Linked DNA regions of Danio rerio. The main gene of each other region encodes a partner of the protein of the gene in region 2 in a complex. Links are inferred from orthologs where the notes say so. Each region holds a gene or a part of one and is shown on either strand. Other genes may lie near its edges.

What was found.
Region 1: the proteins of atp7a (region 2) and atox1 are in contact, whole or in part, in an NMR structure (PDB 2K1R), measured with the Homo sapiens proteins. The link is inferred for Danio rerio from reciprocal best matches to the Homo sapiens genes ATP7A and ATOX1. Residues at the interface, in NP_000043.4 of Homo sapiens: Cys19, Asn20, Ser21, Cys22, Trp24, Thr25, Gln29, Asp67, Asp68, Met69, Gly70, Phe71, Asp72; in NP_004036.1 of Homo sapiens: Thr11, Cys12, Gly13, Gly14, Cys15, Ala18, Arg21, Val22, Lys25, Lys57, Thr58, Gly59, Lys60.

What each region holds. Positions count from the first base shown.
Region 1 is NC_133189.1:30,257,270-30,261,839, reverse strand, and holds atox1 (copper transport protein ATOX1), read left to right. Parts: upstream 1-1,609; 5' UTR 1,610-1,700; coding exon 1,701-1,706; intron 1,707-1,879; coding exon 1,880-1,952; intron 1,953-2,148; coding exon 2,149-2,273; 3' UTR 2,274-2,297; intron 2,298-4,116; 3' UTR 4,117-4,415; downstream 4,416-4,570. UniProt on the Homo sapiens protein: Binds and deliver cytosolic copper to the copper ATPase proteins. May be important in cellular antioxidant defense.
Region 2 is NC_133189.1:26,685,509-26,689,766, reverse strand, and holds the start of atp7a (copper-transporting ATPase 1), read right to left. Parts: upstream 2,992-4,258; 5' UTR 2,904-2,991; exon of another isoform or gene 2,421-2,903; intron 2,338-2,420; exon of another isoform or gene 1-2,337. UniProt on the Homo sapiens protein: ATP-driven copper (Cu(+)) ion pump that plays an important role in intracellular copper ion homeostasis.

The DNA.
Region 1 (4,570 bases), about 3.6 Mb from region 2:
ATACTGCATAACTGCCCTGCAGTAAAATGCAGTTCATATTACAGTTAAAAACTGCTTAATTTACACATATTGTTAACAATGTAGTCACATTTGTTTCATACTACAAAAGCTATCCAGTATTGAGTTGTTGTTGTTTTTTATTTAAGACCTCGTCTGGATCAATTCAATAATCTGTGGTAATAAATGCTTTTCATAAATAACCGGTAATAAGTTCAATATCAGCATGATGTCAGTGATGTCACAACCCTCGAAGGCTCAGCAGGCTTTCTACAAGATGTAGCTCAGCATTAGCACGTATCATATTGTACATGAAATGACAGAATCAGACTTACCGCAAGCACCGCTGAATGATATTAACCAACTATATAAACCTAATAAAGTCCATATTTTAACCCGGACATGCTATGACAGAAAAGAGACAAGATGATCCGACACGCTGAACGACTCTGTTGTTCTGATTCTGCGTCCTCGCTCTGCTGTCACATGACACATGTCAGCTGATTTCACTTCAACGCGGTCTCTCACGGATTACGTTTCCGTGTTTCTGTTTTAAAAATCAAAAAGTTAACGATACACTTTTAAAACATTGCAGCTTTTGCAAAATCAAAATGACGTACAGAGTATGACGGAAGCTGTATGCTTTAGTACTTTTTAATGAACAAATTTAATGAAGGAAATTAACAAACTTTTTATTATTACAGTTCTCAACTTAATTTAATTTGAACGTATTTAATTTAATTATTTAATTTTGCTTAATTTTATTTAGAGAGCAACAAAAACAAGGGATCATCTAAAAAATGTGTTTTACGTTTAAAACGTTTGATATCACTTCTGATGCGATATCCAACAAAATGTTGTGTGCTGCTGAATATATCGTTGTATCTGTAGATGTATATGGAAAATACTATGTAGTAAACACTAGTCTATTTGAACCATATTATATTAAAGTGTCTTTTACTATATTTACAGAGCACAGGCTAACTGTTATTACGGTATTAGCAAACTGATAAAGTGTAACAAAATACTGCAGTAAACTCAACAGTAAATTGGTATAGTAGTATATTTTCTAGTTGTAGAAACTTGGTACACTATTGGGTTTTTGACACTATTTGTTGTATTACCAGGGACTATTACAATAACAAACTATTTCAAGTATTTTAGTATGGTTCAATTTTTTTCATGTGGGGATGGTATTTAAATCGGACTTGTGAGGAGCTTATAAAATGTGTAAATGAGTCAAAACAATACCAAGACATCTGGAATAGACATTTACGACATGGCAATTCCATGACTGTATGACAAGAAATATGTTTGGTTTTGGTCATGTGGGTCCTGTTATTAGCTTTAGATGTCCTTATTTGTTCATGTTGCATTTACATTACATTTAAACTGCACCAGAGTCTGAAACAGATTGGGACCCATCTTTCATCCAGTTTCGCTCCACTTTTGTGTAGAGCACCAAGGTTCAGATGACAGCATTAACATTAATTTAAATGAGCAGTAACAAACAAACAACAAACATATAATCAATTTAGTTTAATAATGCCACGTGTTTTTTGTGGTGCGAATGAACGCTTTGTCAGAAACTGATAGTTTATTGATGAGCCCTAAAGGAAACAGTGCGTCACCTGACCGTCCAGCAACAGTGCCAGCAAAATCGAGTCTGTAGACTTGAGTTTGCAGCAACAGTCTGATCGATCATGACGGTAATTACCCCCTTTAATATAACATTTAATTAACAATAATCCGTTTACTTTTGCTTAGGGTTTCAGAACATCCTAAGTTCGTTTTTACTCAAGATAACTTCCAGACTTAGCTTAGTTGCTAACGTTTTGATGAGTGTCTCTTATTGAATCAAAGATGTTTTCTTTCTTCACAGACTCACGAGTTTTTTGTTGACATGACATGTGAAGGATGCTCTGGTGCAGTCACTCGAGTACTTAATAAACTGGGTAAGGTTTAGGTTTTTTACATTTGAAATATTCTAATCGTAATATCGTTGAATTGTGTACTGGAACCATTTAAATGAGATGTTTGTGAATTGTGTTATTAAATGCATCAGATGTTGCTGCTTTCTTTGCTTTTTGTGTTAAAAAGTGCTTTGTCATGGTGGGACAGAGTTCATAGTTCATTTGTATTTCTCAACAGATGTCAAGTTTGATATCGATCTTCCCAACAAGAAGGTCTTCATTGAGTCAGACAAAAACACTGATGTCCTTCTGGAAACACTAAAAAAGACTGGAAAAACTGTTACCTACATTGGTACAAAATGAAAAGGTTTATATTAAAACAATAAGGTGAGAACTCAATTCAAATACTTCAGTCAATTGCACTCACAGAAGTTAAAAATCATTATAACACATTAACTGAACTATTATATAGTACAAGTTTCTTGGTCTTGTGATCAGACAGGATTTACTTGACAGTCCAAAGTTTGTTTTTATTGTAACATAAAGCTTGCATTATCAGTTTCCATCCACCTGTTAAAGTGATAGGTCACAAAAAATACATAAGTACAAATTTGCTAATTTTTACTTCTCTTCAGCCCTCACAATATGGCTTTTTTTGTTAAGCTTTATTGGAATATTCAACAACCACAAGCACTTTGACAGTAAAAAGCATATACAGAGAAGGAAAAAACTAAAAGGGATAGTTCATCCCAAAACAAAAACTAAAATCAATCACCTTTTATTTGCATGTTTTAAATCTGTTTGGGTTTCTTTTTTCTATTGAACACAAAAGAAGATATTTAAAAATTCATGAGCTTAAAGTCACATATAAGCTGATGCTGTTTGTTTACAACATTTTATAGAAACAACAAATAAAGAGTATTTTGATAACGAGTACAGCAGCATCAGCTCATGTTTGACTTTGCGCTACTTAAATTTATTATACTCAAGATTGCTTAAAAAAAACTAGGCTGTGTGGACTTAAAGAAGGCTAAAAATGCTGGGTTCTAGACAATCGATTTGAGTTGGAACAACATGACGGAATTTAGTTACCTTATTAATTTGTACAAATAGTAACAATTTACAATAAGGTTCATTAGTTAATGCATTTACTAACATGAACGAATCATGAACAACACATGTACAGCATTTATTAATCATAATTTAACATTTACTAATGCATTATTAACATCCAAATCTATGCTTGTTAACATTAGTTAATGCATCATGAGTTAACAAACTATGAACTACTGTATTTCCACTAACGTTAACTAACATGAACAAATACAGTAGTAGATGTGTTCTTCATTGTTTGTTCATGTTAGTAAATGCATTAACTAACATTAACTAATGAACCTTATTGTAAAGTGTGACTACAAATTTAAGTGGATTGAACATAAAACAATTAAGTTATTAAAAAAACTCAATAATTGTTTCAGCTAATTTTAAATAAGTCATTTAAACAATCAGCAAAATAAATTTCTGATTTGTGATATCAGAAATCAAGGATATTCCTTTCATTTTTCTTGTATATGTTTTTGACACAAAATACTGGTAGCCATTGGCTTGCATTTCACAAATCAGCAATGGTCTCAGTTTCAGCTAAAAATCCCATTAATTATACTCTTAAATAAAAAAAGAGTTAATTGCTAAAAAAAAGTGTTATTCTTAGGGCTGAACTTTTTATTTTTTAAGGTTGACAAATCAGTGCTGTCTCTGTTTTTGTACTAATAGTCTGTGACATATTTGTTGTAATGATTTAATTTGTTCTGATTTAAAGAGACAGTTCATCCAAAATGAAAATAATTGTTTACTCATATTCTAATGGTTCTAAACTTATGAATTTATTTTCTCTGTTGAACACAAAACAAGATAGTTTGAACAATGTTGGAAAAAAACAGCCATTGACATCCACTATGCTAGTCAATACCTGTTATTTTCAGCATACCTAAGTATATCTTCCTTTGTGTTCAATAGAAGAAAGAAACTCAAACAGGTTTGGAACAAGTGGAGCATGAGTAAACGATGACAGAATTTCTATTTTTGGTTGAACTATCCCTTTAAAAAGATCTCATTTATATTCTGAGCTACCGTTTTATTGCAGTTGAGATTACCTAAAGTGGACATGTGCTCATTAATTCATTGAAATTCATTGATGTTTTAATAGGTCAGAATCATGCTGCTTTGGAGATTATAAAATGGGACTCCTTCAATGGCCTGTACATTACATATCTGATCAATTGCTATGTATCTGCGGGACCACAAAAGGAAATTTGTTCAGCAGAACCACAAACAACTACCAGGCTTTGCTTTTTTCTTTTTAAAAATGTTCTGTTTACAATTATAAGAATCTTGATTAAAGCCAATCCGTTAACAGTGTGGTCTTTTTCCTGCCACACTTGTCTACATGTAATTGTATGTGTCCAGATGTTTAAATAAAGATTCCTGTATTTACTCAGAGGAAAACAAAATTGTCAGAGTGTTTTTTGCTTGTCCGTAACTAGAGTTTTAGTCAATTTTAATAGATAATAGCTTAATGCAATTTTATTTATTTATTTATTTATTTAATTTTTTTGTGTGTGTGTGGTGCAAATGTGACCCTGGAGCGTAAAATTGAAATT
Region 2 (4,258 bases):
GGCCAAGTCTGTTATCCTGTAGATAAAAATGAGGCTGTTTAAACTTAACGCGTTAAATGTTACTGATGCATTTTAATTACACTTTAATTACAACATAAACATAAATTAGAATATATCAATCACCATAGTTTTATACAAACATTGACTTTTATATCTCACAATTTTAACTTTGTTTTCTCAGAACTGCTACTTTATTTGTCATAACTGTGAGTTTATTGGCTTGACCATAATTCTGCCAAATGCTTTTCTAGCAACAAGTGAAACTAAAACATACAGAACAATACACATAAACCTAATTCTGAATGAAACCAACACACACCACATGGTATATCAAAGTACTTTAAAAATACTATAGTGATTATCAAGATACAAGAACAAAAGATGGTACTGTAACTGTACAGTATGTAAAGTGCTAATTAAATAATAGCAACATAATATCAGCCTCATATAAAAAAAACATTGCTGTCTAAACTTACCCACTAAACACTCTGAATGTTTCTGACACATCTGAATTAAGCTTTAACTAAAGCACCTCTTCTATGAGAAACACAAACGTGACTTAGGAAACGTACACTAGAACAAATCAATATTTACACAGTCTGACATCACAAACCCGAGCAGTAACTGTACATCTGAATTAGGCTGATTTAGGCATGGTAAACAATATAGGGAGCATGTCCCAAGTTGTCACTGAATGAAAGTGCGAATATAAAAACCAACTTTACCTCAATCTGTACGATATTGGAAAAAAAATTTGTTTGTTGCAATATATTAGGATATAAATAAATTTTCAACAGAATATTTAAATAGCTCTATTTATAAAGATTTAATTTAGACTGATTGGGATGATCAAGTCTTTTTCCATGCAGTGGATCTGCATAAAATATAACAAATTACAAGCAAAAATAAACAAGACAGATCAAAAACAAAAGTTACACAAACAATGATAAAGTTCCACTCTGTATTTATTGGTATACTCTGCCATGACTCCACAATGTATCATGTATTCTCAACTGCTGTGCTGATCGACTATAATCGCAACTCAACATTGCATATCCTGCGATGTGAATATTGTGGACACACACATTGCGATATCGATGCTGAAACGATATACTGCTCAGCCCTAATCTAAAAAAAAAAATACAAAATGTCAAAGTAAAGACTACAAATTAAATATAAAATCTCAACCCTGCTGAATCCATATTTGAGTTCAATTCTTCGAAACAAACAAAAACTTATATATAACGATAATATACCAACAATAACGATAGTGTCAGGGTTTTAATTTAAACCGATAAGTTATAAAGATAACATACCGACAATAACGATACTGTCAGGGCTTGTATTTAAACCGATAAGTTATAAAGATACTATACCGACAATAATGATAGTGTCAGGGTTTGTATTTAAACCGATAAGTTATAAAGATAACATACCGACAATAACGATACTGTCAGGGCTTGTATTTAAACCGATAAGTTATAAAGATACTATACCGACAATAATGATAGTGTCAGGGTTTGTATTTAAACCGATAAGTTATAAAGATAATATACCGACAATAACGATAGTGTCAGGGTTTGCATTTAAACCAATAAGTTATAAAGATAATATACCGACAATAACGATAGTCTCAGGGCTTGTATTTAAACCGATAAGTTATAAAGATACTATACCAACAATAACGATAGTGTCAGGGCTTGTATTTAAACCGATAAGTTATAAAGATAACATACCGACAATAACGATAGTGTCAGGGCTTGTATTTAAACCAATAAGTTATAAAGATAATACACCGTCAATAATGATAGTGTCTGGGTATTTTTACCAATAAGATATAAAAAATAATATACCGACAATAAAGATAGTATCAGGGCTTAAATTTTTAACGATAAGTTACAATGATAATATATCGACAATAACGATAGTGTCAGGGTTTGTAATTTTATCGATAGGTTATAACGATGATATAAAGACAATAACGATAGTGTCAAGGTTTGTAATTTTATTCATAAGTTATAACGATAATATACCGACAATAAATATAAGTTTATATGTGTTAAACCTTCAGAATAAACATAATGTAACAAAATAAATTTTCTAAAGCAATTATAAACCCTAACTTCATTCTCACTGCGTCATTCACAAAACAATTATTAAACTACCACATTTAATAAACCATACCAGAACATAAACATTGAATGGACAATTGTATTTGTATTAATTAACGTCAACAAAGACACATAAAAAAAACAGTAACAAACGTTTTGCTCATCGCAAAAACGAATGGATTAACGTTAGCCCTATTATACATTACATCATCAGCTAATATAAACTCTCCAAGCAATAGAGATTAGCTTTATTATATATGCAGCTAACGTTCATCTCTATCGCTTGGAGAGTTTATATATAATAATAACCCCATGATCAATACATTAAGTGTTTAATGATATCCAATTTATTAAAGAACTGAAATTTTAAGGTGTCATCAGTTAGAAACAGGCATTTAACGTTACTCTAAAAATAACGTTCTCAGAAAGATTCCTTTGATGCAGATGTGAGATGTTTGCTTTTGAGCCTAAAGCTAACTTAAACCACAGACACGAAGAACAACAAAACTGCTGGATTGTTTTACCTTTCGTGCGAAGAGCTGATGCTGAGTCACAGGACCAACAAGTTTAATCCTCATAGGACGCTGTTGTCACTAGTTAAGTTTGGTAAGTTTTACTGTCACTTTCACAATGACAGCAGTTAACTTAACGTTAGCTGGCTAACAAACACTTTGTTAGTCTCCAGCAGCCAGTAAGTCCTCGCTTCCTTAAAACCTATGGGGTTGGTTGCCCCCATCGGACAAAACCCAGCCGTGTGTAGTGTGTGGAGACAGCAGGAGAGTGTGTGCTTACAGAAGTCACGCTGAAGAGTGTTAAATCCATGCGGAATGTTTGCTATCTCGATGTAGCTCGGGCGCACGCTCCGCAACGTTCCTAGTGTGTTCGAGCACATCATCAACCGCTGCCAAATGCGCAGTCTCGAATGTCGTCGTGGCAGATTCAAGAGCTTCAGTAATGCGTATTTTTGGAGCTGTTTGGAGCTTTGAATAGGGGGCTTGAGATTTATCAGATAGTATTTTAATAGAGCGACTTGGGGAAAAATTAATGCTTATTAAATTGTTTGAAATAAAAAGCTTGTTGAATAGTATTAACAAAAAATATATATGGATTGAATAATTTGAATTATCAAGTGTTTGTATTTTTTAAATTACTTGAACTGTCAGGCTTTGTATTTTTAGGTCTTGAAATTTAACGTAACGTTAACTGTTTATTTAAGCTATCAACTAACGATATTTCGGTTATCAACAAAAATGCTATTTTGGGATTAGTGCTATTTTGGGATTTCCGCCTGGAAAAGCTTCCCAAATCCACATGCAGAGGTGTAAATGCAAAAAAAAAAAAAAAAAAAAAATGGTATCATTTTAAAGAAAACCCTTTGATTTTTCATAAAACACTATTGAAAGTGTTAAACTAACTGTATATGTTGTCTGTGTTATGATAAACACCCAAAAAAGAGGCACTTTTTGCATTTTTTTATAAACTCAAATTTAAAAGTGTACCTTTTAGGTTCTGTGTGGTCTATGTTGATGTAAATAATGTTGGTGGTTCCTGCACATGTCTGTAATCAAAGGAAAAAAGAAAAATGTCTCTACCATAATCTATGCAAAAGTTATTGTATTCCAACTGATCATAGGTGCTATTCAAGCCACAGGGATCGATCATTGTTTTCATATTTCACAATTCTTTTGTTTGATCAAACATAATTGACTGTGTTTGGACCACATCAGACATGTAAAAGGATTACTTATGCACACCACCTCAAAAACAGAGGAGGCCCTGAAGCAAACAGCATAAGAGATGACAGCTGTCAGTGCTATCTGGGGCTGCTTAGTGATCATAAATGCACTGCTAGCCCTTTAAATCCTAAATCTTAAAGCGAAAGTCGATGACGTCACCGGTACCGGGTGTGTGTAAAATATTTTGTGGTTGAATTACAGCTTAACAGGTCCTAAAATACAAACCCTAACAATTCAAGCCAAATACAAATCAAAAGAGTGCTATTTAAGAAGCTTTCTATTTCAAATACTTTAGACCTTAAATTTGTTCCATAAGAGACATAGTATGCCTGTTATCTACTTTATAAAGAACTGAACCTTATTTGTATATAGGTTTTAGGGTCAAAACAGACCCAAATGCATTATAAAGGA